Linked DNA regions of Arabidopsis thaliana. The protein of the gene in region 2 purifies or fractionates together with the protein of the main gene of each other region. This does not show direct contact. Each region holds a gene or a part of one and is shown on either strand. Other genes may lie near its edges.

Region 1 (6,822 bases), on a different chromosome or scaffold from region 2:
CTGTCTTTGTTGGTCCTATAGATCATATCAAATACAACAGTCTCAAGGCCTGATGCTGTAAGCAACAACCCCGTGGCAACAGAAACAGGTGGTTTGAGCGGGAAACCGCTCTTTGCTCTCTCCACCAACATGTTGAGAGATATGTACACTTTGACACGAGTAAGTTCTTATCCTAAAAAAAAGATGATCCACTAATCGACCAATGAACTAAAACCTTTTCTGATGGGTTTTTGGATATTTTCATGTTCTCTTCCTTAGGGAAAGATTCCATTGATAGGCTGTGGCGGGGTTAGTAGGTAAACGTCGAACATACCTCTGATGCTTTAGTTGTAAGAACAAAAGAAACACAAGAAAATGATTTAAGGTGAATCTTTTGTGTTTTTAGTGGTGAGGATGCTTACAAGAAAATAAGAGCTGGAGCTACTCTTGTTCAGCTGTACACGGGATTTGCCTATGGAGGACCTGCCCTCATCCCACAAATAAAGGTATCTCCTTCCCCATAAAGAACACAAAAACATACATATGCTGTATTTTGAGGTCAGATTGATACTAATATTCATGTCTTGTTGTTGCAATAGGAGGAACTGGTGAAATGCTTAGAAAGGGATGGCTTCAAGTCGATCCATGAAGCAATTGGTGCTGATCACAGATGATAAAACTCAAAGAGCAATACGCTGCGGAAAGATCCCTTTTCTTAAAACAACAAAACAAGTTGTATTTAAAGTTCATTGATTCAGTTGTCTCTTTCTACCCCCAACAATAACATCATCGTTTTTGCCTCCAATAACATCATCGCTTTTGTCTCTTTTCTCACGTTTTATGAGAAATAACTAGTTAACACGTCTTTTCTTTCTCATAGTCACTACTGATTACTTAAAATTACAGCACAAATTCTTCTAGCACACTAAACACAAGCCGATTGAGATCAAAAGAGTCAAAACATAACTGATCAGACAAAATCATTTGCAATCTCAAAATAGTCTCAATAGCAAAAAGCACTAGAGAAGGAATAATTTTCACGACGTGGTTGCAGCTGTTAACTGTTTAACTTTGGCCTGCAAGACCATTCCAGCTTCATCTGCCACGCTTTTCTTTTTCGCTGCGACCTGCATTGAATGAACATTTTTGAAGTTTATAACTAAAATCTCAGGTGAGATAAACAGCAGTAACAATAGGGTTTTCAAAATAAAAGAGTATTGAAACAATTTGGCAATGATGCACTTGATTTCAATAACTATTGAAGCAAATGGAAAGGAAACGTGAGATCATAGCATTGAATTTTGCTTTATACGAAAACAATACTCAGACCTCTACTTAGTGTATCATGTATGGCTCTAGGGACTAGGGAGTGTTTGACAATGCAGGAAAGGATCAACCAAAGGGCTTTCTGACTACGTACTTGCATTCCATAAAACTTTAAGGCCTCAAACATTTTTATACAATGGATCAAGTCAGTGAAAGAAGTCCACAAAGATTCACCCCTAGTAACAGAATCAGACTCCATTCAATTCAAAAAATCTTATCCACTTTGCTCATTCACAATTTTCGTAAATGTTATGAGAAATGTGTTATCCTTCAGTAAAAGGACAGTTCTAAGGCATATTCAATAAGCCGTATGAAGGAAAAGTGTAGGCCTTCAATACCTAAAAGTACAGTTCTAAGGCATACTCACTGGCATTCGAATACATATTCCCTTTCACTCAGAATCTATCTAAAAACCAAATCAGGCCTTTAAAAGTTGCTAAGATAGTGAAATGATCCTAATTGCGAATACATATTACCTCAAAAAGTTGATCAAAGTTGGATTTGAGCAAGTTGATCTTCCTCTGACAATAATCTTTTCCATCATCCATTGTTTTCTACATAAAAATGCAGCAAAACACTTGAGCTACACAAGAACAAAGTCATAATAATCCAATTACTTATTGAAGTTTTCTATTACCTCAATGAAGTAACCAGTGCCAATATCAACTAAAACCTTATCAGCTTCATCAAGTGTCCCAGGCACGTATAGAGAAGCAGTCAGTGGTACAAGCATCTTCTTACCTACAATTTTCAAATTGTTTTATAATCATCCATCGCTGAAATTGAAGAAGGAGAGGTGAAATAAACAAAACCTTGAGGTCGAAGAGAGAGATCGTTGAGAGCTGCGGCGGCGGCATCGAGACGAACGGTAGCTGTACGGATGTTGTTGAGACTATCTTGAAGAAGATTCACTTCCAGATCTGCTTGCTCCTTCAAAGCTTTTAGCTGATCGATTCCCATCTTCTCCATCTCTCCTCTCGATGATGACGACGCCATTCTTCTCTCTCACAGTCGCGCCTTCGAGTTTGCGATGCGCTCAAACTCTTTCTTCAAAAGGTTAGAGACGAAGTGTGTGATGGCCCGTTAAGCGGAGTTCAGACTTCAGCGTTAGAGATGAAGTCATAAGGCCCATATTGGCCCATTTAAGCTGTTTCTAACATTTTCGAGGCCTTAAATGATTAAAGAAGAAAATAGTGTATGCTTTGATTCAAATAAAAATTAAAACAAAATTGAATCAAAAAACAATTTTTAATAGTTTACCTATATTTTGAAAAAATTTGAAACAAAAAAATATTTGCTTATAATTCAAACAATACTTAATTTGCTTATATTTTGTCATACTTATAAAAAAATGTAACCAAATGAAATAGTTAATTAGTTGCGTATTTTTACATTTGTAACTAAACAAATAACACATAAAATTAATATTCTTACATGTTTTGGGTCTTATATAGAATTAATATAGATCCCAAATTGATCACTGTAGAATCTGCAACTAGGAAAAAATGAACATGCTTTAACGTTTAAAAGAAACAACTAAAATTTATTTTATTTTTGCTATAAAATTGTTTTTATAGTCAGTTTTGAAAATCAAATTTTGATACTCTATGATAATGTTTAGTCATCAATTTTTTCTGAACCATAAAGTATTTGACAGTACATTTAATTTAACACGGCACAGAGCTAGTAGAGTGAGGTGAATGAGAGGCTATTTATTTATTTACATGTGTCGGTCCAAAATGCGAAATATGTATATGAAAAATAAAGACTCGTATATGAATTATTTGCCAGCCTATAGAAATTATTTTTCGGTAGAAAATAATTGGGACCATATCAATTATTGGTGTTGGGGTCATTTAGATGATTCGACAATAAAAGGTACGGATGTTTTATTGATACGAGTTGATTACAAAGATCCCCCACCTATAATTATTTGCATTACATTATATAGCTAAGTGTTAATTACTAAGACCTAATTAAGAAAGAAAAAACACCAACTTTTTGTTAAGATCTTTCCATTAATGGATTCTTATTTTAATGAGAAAATTTGTTTGATTCTTTTGATTGGTTAGTGTGACCTAAATAGTCTAAAGAAGCCTATCTAATCACTTTGACATTTATTCATCAGGTATTATCGTGATAAATAAATTATTGGTTAAATACATTACTCAGCAGATATATAGCTGTGAAAACCACAAACGAAATCATTGAATCTATGCTATTTGTACCTTAAATATACTTTGCATAAGAAATTATACTATATCAGGGGTTAAAATAAAATTTACTTTTTTGATAGTCCAAATTATTACAACAGTGAAAATGGTTTTTGCCAAAATTAAAACAACCATTTGAACTCATGTTCGAGTGTATCACCCACATTTTTTTAGATAGCTAATCTCAAACAAGAGAAGAGACAATTCTAACACCTTTAATCTTTCAAATTGTAACAGTTTCTAGAACAAAAATATAGACAATTAATTTAAAGATATCATGTCGCCATATAGTTTTAACAGTACTTAAATTTAATATTTCTCTGACTAACGTGACAAACCAAACTTCCAAAAGCACAGTACAAAGATTCATATGAAACAAAAAGGCAACAAAATTGAAGAATTCAGACACAACTGGTTTGTCTCTTTTTCTTACTAAATCCTCTGTTCAGTTCTTGCATTAAATCAAGACGCGAAACGCCAAAAATAAATAGCATCTCAAAATCCACAATTCATACATATATCCACTAAAAAAATAAGAGATTATTATGATTCTGTTCAAAAATCCATCATCCGGTTCGATTTCAACGAAACAATCACTATCACATAAAGCTTTTTGTGTATCAATAAATGCAGAGAAGGAAGGAACAATATGAATTCGAAACATTTATTAGAAATAAACGTGGTTAACAGCTTACGCAAATGCTTCACCACAATTGTTGTAACACATTACACAATTAGCAACAACAACAACAAACCATATTAAAACATTTAAATATATATCTGAAATTTTAATCGACGGCTCTGTTTCACCGGAAAAAAAAAACAGACACAAAAAAAAAAAGAGGAAAAGAAACCACCGTGGTTTCTGAAATTTTCCCTTTTTTCCTAAAAGTAATCTTGGATCCGATAAGAAATCGATCTCCCTCCAAAAAAACAACAGATTCTTAAACCCTAATTTAACCCTAATCAAAAACAACCGTCTTTAACTTACTTAAAGCTAACGAAAACTCTCAAATCACTTGCAGAGATTCTGAAACCAAATCAATCTCTAACAACACTAAAACACACACATAGAGAAACAATGACAACAATAGAGAAGAGAAGATAATAAATATATATACCAAATTTTGCCCTCAAACCTAAAAGGGCTTAAACCATTAACGTGGATCTTCCTCTCTTCGATCCGACCCGGGAGATCCACCGGATAAAGAAGCAAGCAAATTAAGATGACCCGGAAGATAATTCCCAACTCTAGCAGCAGAAGCTTCACCCATTGCAGCTTGTTGTTGCTGTTGCTGATGAACAAACAATGGTTGCTGATGATGATGTTGTTGTTGTAAAAACATCTCTTGTGGAGCTCCAGCAAAACTCCAAACTTGTCCAAAATCCGGCCTCGCCGGAACAGCCCAAAACCCAGCTGGTGTTGTCGTAAAGGTCTCATCTTTACCAACAGAACTATGATTATGACTATTATTACTATCCTCATCAGCTCTAACACGTTTCCCAAGTATAAACGGTGACGTACCACCAAGTAAAGAAGTGGGTTTATGATCTAAAGAAGTAGAATTGGTGGCTCCACGGATAGAGACAGAAGCAGTTGAGAAACTCGCTGGAGTTGTACCAGTTCCTGTTGCAGCTATAATAGAAGGCTCTGCTTGACGAAGTAACCATTCAATTGTTTGGCCATCTGACTTATGACCAAGCTCTCTCGTTAGCTGAAAAACACGAGCAGCACATATAATCGGCATACGGATTCTTCTCCCTCTTCCATCGACTTTGCTATGTCGATCTTTCGCCGGTGGTTTCTTCACAACGACTGATGGTTGTTGTTCGATTAAAGCTCCGTTTGATGAGATCATAAGACCATCGTTGTTATTGTTGTTGTTGTTGTTGTTGTTGTTAATAGACATGGTTTTCGATCTGGGTTTAGTGTTTTCTTTTTCTCACTTGGCTTGTGATTACTCTCTCTGTGAGAGAAGAGAAGAGAAGAAGCTAATGATTGAGAAGGAGGGAGCTGGTGGAGACAGGAAGGAGAAGCACATGGGTGTGGTGGGGTCCTTTTCACACAGCTCACCATCTCTGGTTTTTTTTCTCTTTTTTTTTTTGCTTTTTTGAGAGGACATTAGTTTTGTCCCGACGCGGTGGAGCTCACGCGCGTTATTACTCCGGTGAAGAAGAAGGTCGCGTGGGGACCAAACTCCGGCAGGAGAATTTAACACTAGGTAGGTGGGTCACTCCTCCGGCTGCTACGTGCATTTAAAGAGACATTTATCCTTTGCCACGTCATTATATACATTATTACTAACTTACTATAAGCTTGAATTTGGAAATTAACACGAAGATACTAATCTTATTTAAAATACATGAAACTAAATGTATTGAAGTTGGTCTCTCTGTCTAAAAAAGTTTTTTTTTGTTTTTAAATTTTTGGGACCAACCTAATGTGGTTATTAGATTTGGGCTAATGTGAACATTTGTTTTGTGATTACGTGAAAATTAATCTTTTTTAGAAAGCTGTTTCCATAAAACAATCGAAAAGATTGAAAAGGAGACAAATCAGTGAGGTAATTGATTGGTAAGTAGACTTTGACATCAAAACTTAATTGAGTTATAAAACAATCAAAATTTAATACTAGTGTTTGTTCTTTTTATTTATTTGTTTATAGTATATTGGTAATAATATTTGCCACCAGTTACTCTGCCGTAAATGCCAGTAGCCCAGTATCACGTGTTTTACGTGAAATGGCAAAAATCGAAACCCTTAAAAATTATTCAGAATTCTTTTGTCGACATCACAAAAGAAAGTTACCTGTAATTAGTTGAGTTTTGCCAACTAAAATACCCAAAGACATTTAAATTAATAGTACTATAAATTAAAAATATTATGGTTTTAATGTTATTAATTTATAGAGGTTTTACTGTATATAATATAAATATATATATAAAATAAATGTGTGTATAAAATAAAAAGAACGAACATTAATTTTAATAACTCCCATTTTGAGACTGACATTGAAAATAAGTGGATTAGTCCACTTGTCAGATACGCAAGATTTTCTTTATGTCGTTCGTCTCATCGCAACGAGATTTTCTTCACATATCGTGACAACAATTTATTTTATGACTTATGCTGAGTTATGCACCACCAAACGCTAATATTTGTTTTAATTATTTTCGTACTCGTACCCCCTAATTAAATGGATTTTCTTATCGTTAATTTTTAACATTCTTGTGAGCTAATGCAAAAAAATAAATGCAATCATGAGCGATATGGCATCATGTCGGCAGTTTTATAAAAAGATTG
Region 2 (9,602 bases):
TTTCGATTATTCGATATATAGTTATTTCTTTTTTCTTAGATACTTATTTTGATTTCTATGATGCAAATAGTAGTATAAATATGCATTAATGCAATTATCTTCGCTTTCTTCCTTTCTAAGACGAATTGCTTAGCTTCTCGTTATTGTCTTTGAGTTGTTTCTCTCTCTCTCTCTCTATTTTGCAGCAACGTGAGGCTGTGTCTTTCCATGAGCAAGTGGTGAATCAATTTTCTCAGAGGTTATGTGTTTGGAGAAGTTATATTCACAACATCTCCAAAAATATGTATTTAAGACCATTTCAGGGATATCAAATTGGTCAAAATTTAGAAAATTGAAACTTCAAGAAACTACATTTTAATATATATACTTTCTCTTTAACCACGTAACCATTTCCTATTCCCATTATTCTTATAAAAATCGTTCCACATTTCTGTATGTCCGTTAATGATTTTATGCAATCTAAAAAAAACTATACTATTTTATATTGTGAGTTGTTGTTTTATTCAATTACCAATAATGTACTATTTAGTTGTTTTTAAAAAATGGCTAAATATGTTAGGCACAAAATTAAAGATACCTTCTACTATCATATTTGCCAAACACATATTTCCTTTCCTTATCCTCTTTAAACCATTACTCAAACACACCTTATTTTGTTCTTATATATTTTGAATATCCAAATTTAGTTTTTTTCAAATATCTCTATTGATTATTACCATATATGATTTGTTGAAATTTATGTACATTTAATGCTTTGATTTTTTTAAATGCACTTTACATTTCTATATAAAACATTACATATATATATATATACATATATTAAAATGTAGTCATTTGAAATATTATACATAAAATTATTTATAAGATTGGAAAGCATAAAATTAAATATTATAAATGATCATTCATAAAATTAAATAGCATAAGATTTACCTAGACTAGCAGGCAATTTTACCTAGTTTTGGTTAAAACTTACAATGTATCTCTCTTTCATAAAAAGTGTAATTTTGACACATTTCACACATTAAAAATGAGTTAAACATACAAATATACCCTTATTTAATATACCCCTAATTATACCATAATGATTTAAATAGAAAATTTCTTTTAGCTTTAGACAAGAGGAAAATCTGAAAACTAGTTAAAATGTAAACGATATTATTTTGTGAATTGTGAAACGGATAGAATTGAACAAGAGTTGAGAAAAAAAAACGGATACAATTTGAGCTTTTATTCTTGAAAGACAAAGAGTTAACAAAAAAAAAATCAATCATGAGTATTTCAAGTATTCTTTTATATTAACAGTAAATTAAATACATATCATTATTTCGATTGACAATAAAGTTCATTAAATGTAATTAAAAAAAAATCACAACGTTTCGTTTTGTGGTCAATAAAATATTGAAGAAATTTGAAAGGGCGCTCACGACACGTTTCGTATAGCCTCTTTTTATTTTTCAACTTATTATAAAAACTGTCAAAGAGGAAGAAAATCTAGCGAGAAGATCTCTGGTCGTCAAATTGAAGGTTCTTCTTCTTCCTCTCTATCTCTACTAGGTAATCTCTAACCTAATCTCTGAACTCTCTTTCATACTTTGGATTATGTTTGATTAATTAATAATAAATTAATAGTGTAGCTTTGTCCGAAATATAGGGTTTCCGGGAGAAGTCATGGCTAGAACCGAAGTCTCAGGGAAAGATAGGTTAAGCGATTTACCGTGTCATTTGCTATGTCGCATCCTCTCTAATCTCTCTACCAAGGAATCGGTTCGTACTAGCGTTTTGTCCCCTCGTTGGAGTAATCTCTGGTCGCTTGTTTCTGTTTTGGATTTGGATTTCCAAGATTTTAAAGGTGAACACGACATGGGAGAATTCATAGATAGCTTTATGGAATATCACGAAGAGTTAGGCTTGAAGTTGAAGAGCTTCAATATGTTTTATGATGCTAATGAGCACTTGCATGAGCCATTTGTGAGGAGGCTAAATAAAGTGGTTAGGCGTGGAGTTTGTGATCTGAATATTCAGAATATGGTGGATGTTGATGTAGCATTAGTTAGGATGCCTCCCTCGCTTTATTCATGTGCTACTTTAGTGAATTTGATTCTCTACTGTGTTGTCTTTGATCATCCAAGATCAAAATCGGTTTCTTTACCTAGTGTGAAGAAAATGTATTTTGAGGGGGTCAAGTTTGATGGTGATTCTGTTCTGGAGACTCTCATATCGCATAGTCCGGTTCTTGAGGAGTTAACCGTGATTCCGCATCCGGAGGATTATTTGGAAGTCATATGTGTTCGTTCTCAATCACTGGAGAGCTTTAGACTTGAGTCTAAGCGTTTTGAGTGTGACAATCCCAAAGTTGAAATCGATTCTCCAAGCCTTGAGTTTATGAGTATCTGTGATAAGAAACCTGAAAGCCTTAAAATACATAGAATTGGTCCTTTTGCGGAGGTAACCGTTGATGTTGAGTTTGATGTTGAGGATGATGATCCATTGGAGATATCTAAGATACGTAAGTTTCTCGTCGGGTTATCCACATTTCACGAACTGACCATCTCTGCTCGAACTCTAGAGGTACACATATGATTGGTGGATTAAATATAACATTAAGCTTGTACAATTTTGTATATGGTGTTGACTTACTTTTTTTTTGGCTATACACAGTCCATCCATGACTACTCCAAGGTGGGACCATTGCCTCCATTCTCTAACTTGTTTGGCTTGGATGCTTCGTTAGTCGAATCTTCTTGGGAAGTTTTACCAGCCTTTCTTAGTTGCTGCATGAATCTAGATTCGCTCGTCATAGTGAGTTTCATTTATTTGTCTATATTTCACGTAGTTACATTGAGATTCATATCCCAAGAAAACTTATCAAAAGTTTTATGTTACTAGGAACTTGACTGTGTTCCAGAGATGGAGGAGATTAAACTCTCACCAGTGCCTCAATGTGTCTTATCCTCTCTCGACTTTCTTCAGTTGAAGGCACCATCGACACCAAGTAAAATGAAACTTGCGACATATTTTAGGAAGAAGTGTACACGCTTGACGAAAATGCTTTTAAGTGGGCAGTAACATCATCAAGAAAATGAAAAGGATTCCAAAGATATGCTGAAAGGTGTCAAGTTGTTATGTGTATAATGTCGTCTCTCCTAAATCAAGTTTACCTATCAACAGTTAATTATCAAATAATCTATTGTAAGACTTTTTAGATTTTCTTGTTAGACATGGCTTTATGTTTTCTAGTTTTTTTTTATGGATGTTCTTTAGTAAATTTCTATCTCTTAAAACAAAATTGAAATTCTATGTTGCAACTATATGTAGGATTGATTATAAATTTTTATATTCTTTCATTGATTCTTACTCGTAAACTATATTGCAATGAGTAAACTTAAAAGTGAAGTATCTTGGACTTCATCCATGTTGTTACGGGTTGGATTCAACGTCAAAGTTTCGTTGAAAGTTTGTTGCTATAGTTTTCTATATATATATCACATGCATTGTAATTAGGTTGCTATAGTGTACAATACATGTAAAATATACAAAACTATAGCAACAAAGTTTTAGATACTTAATTGCTTCCTTTAATCTCAAACCATTTGGTTGAATCTATCAAGTACACAGGACATATGCTCATTCAAATTGGGTAACTAAGAGCACCCCCAACGCTGGACTCTATGAAAATCCCTTAAAAACATACAAATAATAATATTTTAATCTTATTAGGGCTTCTGTATAATTTGACCAATAATAAAAACACATGTATATAATTTTCTCGAGACTGTCCCTTAAATAAAGAATTTTAGGGCCTCTCTCTCTTCTTACACTTACCTTTTAATTATTTTTCATTCTTTTTATCATTAGAAATTTTGTTAAGGGACCACCGTTGGTGGTCCTCTAATCACGCATGGAGTCTAGACGAAATAAGAAACGCATTAATAAGACATATATTATTTTTTGGTGAAAGTATAATGTAGACAAAAAAAAAAGATAAAGCTTTTGTTTTCTTAGACATAACCCAAAGAACATACCATATATATAGCAGAATTAGATTAAAAACAGTCAGATCAGAAAACAAAACAATCTGAATAGCTAATTGCACAAAAAGCTAGGGTTTTGTTAAGGATTTTCCGAGTTTAATACCGGGAACTGATCCTCGTGAATTGTCGAGATAGCGCTTAATGTTTTGTAAATATTTAATATTAACCCCAAATATTCGATTTTGACCAATTTATACCCCATCGAGATATTTCTACTGCTGACTTTTTAGTGTTTTGTATTTGACCTCGTTTGATGGACGAACCGGAATATAATTGTGTTGGTTGGTCAACCATTTGTTTTTAGCATTTTCTGGTCTTTAATTAATCGCTAAGTAATCTAATTCTGGATTAAGAAGAAAAAAAAACTTCAAAAGAGACGCTTTTATACAACGCTTTGAGCATTACTTGGCCCTCTCAAAAGAATACACAGACCAGTCTTCGTGTGCTCGTAATTGGCGATTCTCAAATTCGATCTCCGTACAAACAATGGCCGAAACCTCGAAGCAAGTCAACGGCGACGATGCCCAGGATCTTCACTCGCTTCTTTCTTCTCCGGCGAGGGATTTCCTCGTTCGTAATGACGGCGAACAGGTAAAATAGTTTTTGACGTGATTTTGAGTTTATGGTCTTCGATCGCAACTTCTTCTGATCTTCGATAACGATCCTGTGATTGTCTCGCGATTCTTTGAACCGACTCTTCTGGTTTACAGAATATAGATAGCTTCGTGTAGTTGATTGATTTGCTATAGATGACTTTAATCGATTGCTTTCAAGTGTTAAGATTCATTCAGTGCTTGGTCCTTTATTGATTTGGCTTGTGTCTATTTCACATGGCTTATGTTGTTTGGGTAGAGTTTAATTTTTTATGCATTTTTATGATGTTTAGGTGAAAGTTGACAGCTTGTTAGGGAAGAAGATTGGATTGTATTTTTCAGCTGCTTGGTGTGGACCGTGTCAGCGGTTTACTCCACAGCTGGTGGAAGTCTACAACGAGCTCTCTTCGAAAGTTGGTTTTGAGATTGTGTTTGTGTCAGGTGATGAGGATGAAGAGTCATTTGGAGATTATTTCAGAAAGATGCCCTGGCTCGCTGTTCCGTTTACTGATTCGGAAACCCGTGACCGTTTGGATGAGTTGTTTAAGGTTAGGGGAATACCTAACCTAGTGATGGTTGATGATCATGGTAAACTTGTGAATGAGAATGGTGTTGGGGTCATACGAAGCTATGGAGCTGATGCTTATCCTTTCACACCAGAGAAAATGAAGGAGATCAAAGAGGATGAAGATAGAGCTCGGAGAGGACAGACCTTAAGATCTGTCTTGGTGACTCCTTCACGAGACTTTGTGATTTCGCCTGACGGAAACAAGGTGCACATTAATAGCTTGTGAGATCAGATTCTTTTTCGTCAATAGGAAGATTATATCTATACAAGACTCTTGCATTAGTTAGTTATTACGGACCTGTTTCTCTTTTGTTGACTTAATGAGACCGATCAATTGCATATTCATTAGGTACCCGTATCAGAGCTTGAGGGAAAAACCATTGGCCTTCTCTTCTCTGTGGCCTCTTACAGGAAATGCACAGAGCTTACTCCAAAGCTTGTTGAGTTTTATACGAAGCTGAAGGAGAATAAGGAGGATTTTGAGATTGTGTTGATATCTCTTGAAGATGATGAGGAGTCTTTTAATCAAGACTTCAAGACCAAGCCATGGCTAGCATTGCCGTTCAACGACAAAAGTGGATCAAAATTGGCTCGGCATTTCATGCTGTCAACACTACCGACACTGGTCATTCTCGGCCCTGATGGAAAAACCCGTCACTCGAATGTCGCTGAAGCTATTGATGACTATGGAGTTCTTGCGTATCCTTTCACTCCAGAGAAGTTTCAAGAACTCAAGGAGCTAGAAAAGGCAAAGGTAGAGGCTCAAACGCTCGAGTCACTTCTTGTCTCAGGTGATCTCAACTACGTTCTCGGAAAAGATGGGGCAAAGGTATAGCTCTCGATACCCTCTTCATTTTCTAAACACTGTTCTTCAAGGCTGATCTGAACCAACCTGTAAAAATTTGGCTTTCTTTGTTAGGTGCTTGTTTCGGATCTGGTGGGGAAGACTATTCTTATGTACTTCTCAGCTCACTGGTGTCCTCCTTGTCGCGCTTTTACACCAAAGCTTGTTGAAGTATACAAGCAGATAAAGGAGCGGAATGAAGCGTTTGAATTGATCTTCATCTCCAGTGACCGTGACCAGGAATCATTCGATGAGTACTATTCGCAAATGCCGTGGCTGGCTCTTCCATTTGGTGATCCTAGGAAAGCATCCTTGGCAAAAACCTTTAAGGTTGGTGGGATCCCAATGCTAGCAGCTCTGGGACCAACTGGGCAAACCGTAACAAAAGAAGCAAGGGACCTTGTCGTAGCCCATGGAGCCGATGCTTACCCTTTTACTGAGGAACGTTTGAAGGAGATTGAAGCTAAGTACGATGAGATAGCAAAAGATTGGCCTAAGAAGGTGAAACATGTTCTCCATGAAGAACATGAGCTAGAACTAACTCGTGTTCAGGTTTACACATGCGATAAGTGTGAGGAAGAAGGGACAATATGGTCTTACCATTGCGACGAATGCGACTTTGATCTTCACGCCAAGTGTGCTTTAAACGAGGACACAAAAGAAAACGGCGATGAGGCTGTGAAAGTTGGTGGCGACGAGTCCAAAGATGGTTGGGTTTGTGAAGGAAACGTATGCACCAAGGCCTGATAGGTAGCTTCAGGCACAGTTATGTCACTATGTGTATGCAAAGCTATTTCCTTTCTTTGTATAATTGCTAAGAGTGAGAATGTGTGGTTACAATCTGATATCTGATTAAGACCTTGGAGATAAACTCTGTTAATCTAAAGTAATAATAAAAGAATCTTCTTATTTAACTTTGATCTTGTATCAACAAATTTTATATTCCAACAGGAGTTGTATGAAACAATACATTGGCACACTCTATGTATATATCAAGAGATACAGAGAGAGAGCATTCTGCTCTCAGATGAAATTTTCGTCTTCCTGGTTCCAGTGGCTAACACCTATGCAGAGGAAGCTAAAGGTGGCGATTCTCATGATCTCCAGTGGCTTTGGATTCCCTCATTCGTAATGGGCAGCAAGCAAGGAAGAATAACCAGCTGCTAAATTATGAAAAAATCAGATCAAAAGAAAAACATTTTAAGCTTGAAATGTAGAACTGTTTGAGATGGATCTAAGATCACGTGGGATTTTGGATCCAGTAAACTAAAGTGATACTTACCAGTGATTCTCTGTTTTATCATAGGACGACCACGTTCATGAATTTCCTCTTGGCGAATGCAAGCCACCATTTATTTGGTGTCCCGTTGGCTCTATATGCTACACTCAGTAACCTCCCACTTGTCTCCTCTCGAACCTGCTTAAGATAGTTCCTGAAAAGCTCTGACATTTGAAGCCAAACAGAACACAAGGCTAAGGACCAAGTAACTGAAAGAAAAATCAATAAGAGTTGTTTAGACATGTATATATACCTGCTTCGTCCTGGGACTGCGGAAGCGAAAAGAGACCTGGGAAAGGAAAGCCAGTTTCTCCAGGAACAGGAATATCTTCTAAACCCAAGTTGATAATCGCTTTAGTTCCAACAGCCAATGTTCTACAGCCTTCAAGCCTCTTTAACGCCACATTTATATAAAACGTCAAGTAAATAAGGAGCTTATCAGCAGGACTTTTGATATCAAAGTTTGTGAAGAAGACATTAGCACGAAAGAAGGTGATTGCCTCGTCTACTATATCAGTTTTATCTGCATATAAAACCAACAATTTACAAAAGCTTTCGATCGCACAATTGAAAAAAATCACATGTTTTGATTAATTACCTTGTTCTGAAACAGGTGCAGGACCTTTTATATGACTCTTGAGAGGAAGCAATGGACAACCACATGCCTTTGTTACTCCTTCTTCATCCACAAAACTCGAGTGATAAACCTGATCAGAGCATTTAATCACAAGGATTAAGGAAACAAAATGAGCATCGCAGAGTTAAATACTCCATGGAACCAAATCAAAGTGAAACAAGCTCAATAAATAAAAAAAATCTCATCGAAGATCTAATCTAATTTCATTAGTTACAAAATGAAATGCGATTAATGCTAATTGAAAGATAAGAAAATGGTGATCCGTACCATTTTGTGCCGAATTTGAACAATGAAGCGATATCAGGAAGGAGAAGAATCGAATCGAAGGTAGATCTGCTGCAATTAAGATCTTGGATATATAAGAATCAGAATTTAGGTGAACGATTGATTCTATAGATGAAGAAAGAAAAAGTTTTTACCTAAACGAGATCAGATCAATTTCAACTTCTTTAGCGTCTACGAAAGAGGAAAGACTGCGTAAAGTTCACACGGTGAAGAATCCTTCGTGATGTTGCGGCGGTCGGAGATTGTCTTATTGGGAAGCTTAATCGCCGGCTGAAGAAGAAATTGAAATGGAAAATCGACGAAGTAGGAAAAAGGAATGAAGAACAGAAGAAGAAGAAGACAGAGAGGTATGGATGACACGTGTAAGACTCCATGAATGTGGTACATTGCTTCGTACCGGGAGTAACCAATGTTAAATCCGGCTTAGCTTTGATTTTTGAGTTTCTCGGTTTTTTTATTTGAAATTTGGTTTCTTATCGACCACTGGAATTAGGTACATCAAAAACCAAATAATGATGTGGTTCATTCTTCGGTTCAGTTTCGGGTTACATCAAAGTGGTTTGACCGGATTAAACATTGATCTTCAATCAACAACAACAACAAAATGTCCATATAAGTGTCAAGTTTCTGTTATTTCTGCTGAATGGATAAAAACTTGTTACATAAGCAATATACAAAACTTAGTAAACAAAGGCTAAACAGAAATGCACAAATACTTGCAATGCACCGGACTAAACCGAGATTTAAAGAAGCTCTAGTGAGATTTAATAAGTGTGTTTGATTCTTTGTGTGATATATAGTACAAGTTACATTGGTCATACATGAATATTAATACGTGAATCATCTTACATAAATGTGTCTAACATTCAACAAACTAGTAATGAGCAGCTCTTGACTCAAACAGTTGATTAAACATATTTCTACACTGAATTGATAATAATACAACTGGTGATAACTAAACTAAATTGATGCTACATTCTATGGTCTCGCTTTCGTTTAAATTTGAAGTTACTGGGATGTGCCGAAAGTTATGACCTGAACAGTTGAGAATTGCTCTTTGCACAGTGTGATGATGCGGTTTTAAATCGTTATGGCTCTGGTCATTGTAGCTCGTGAAAGCGCCTAATGCTCCAAGAAACCCTTCATGTCGTAAAAACATTGCCTTTGCCTCACCTCTCGACCTGAAATGAGAAGGAAAAATGAGAAAGTTCGATAAAGATTTTGTGGACATACATGAGTTTAAGATATGGAGGGATTTGATTAAGTAGTTTCGGTTTTGGATTTACCAAAAGTGAACAGCAACGGAGATTGTGTCCATGGTGTACTCAAGCCCACGGATGAAAAATCCACCAAAGAAAATACGCT

What was found.
Region 1: the proteins of AT1G60420 (region 2) and PFD5 fractionate together in Arabidopsis thaliana (co-fractionation; one large-scale study listed by BioGRID). This does not show direct contact.

Annotation. Positions count from the first base shown.
Region 1 is NC_003076.8:7,841,623-7,848,444, reverse strand, and holds PFD5 (prefoldin 5), read right to left. Parts: upstream 2,365-6,822; 5' UTR 2,302-2,364; coding exon 2,118-2,301; intron 2,047-2,117; coding exon 1,943-2,046; intron 1,860-1,942; coding exon 1,782-1,859; intron 1,107-1,781; coding exon 1,017-1,106; 3' UTR 802-1,016; downstream 1-801. Other genes in the region: PYRD (pyrimidine d), read left to right, coding at 22-159, 259-296, 386-485, 579-653; AT5G23280 (TCP family transcription factor), read right to left, coding at 4,676-5,428. UniProt on the Arabidopsis thaliana protein: Binds specifically to cytosolic chaperonin (c-CPN) and transfers target proteins to it. Binds to nascent polypeptide chain and promotes folding in an environment in which there are many competing pathways for nonnative proteins.
Region 2 is NC_003070.9:22,257,461-22,267,062, forward strand, and holds AT1G60420 (DC1 domain-containing protein), read left to right. Parts: upstream 1-4,293; 5' UTR 4,294-4,517; coding exon 4,518-4,622; intron 4,623-4,917; coding exon 4,918-5,397; intron 5,398-5,541; coding exon 5,542-6,021; intron 6,022-6,111; coding exon 6,112-6,783; 3' UTR 6,784-6,948; downstream 6,949-9,602. Other genes in the region: AT1G60410 (F-box family protein), read left to right, coding at 1,669-2,568, 2,659-2,799, 2,887-3,066; ARPC3 (actin-related protein C3), read right to left, coding at 7,337-7,479, 7,569-7,838, 7,914-8,022, 8,220-8,222; PANK1 (pantothenate kinase 1), read right to left, coding at 9,193-9,418, 9,524-9,602. UniProt on the Arabidopsis thaliana protein: Probable thiol-disulfide oxidoreductase required for pollen tube growth and pollen function in the pistil. Seems not to be required for in vitro pollen tube growth. May be involved in the generation of lipid signaling molecules in pistil.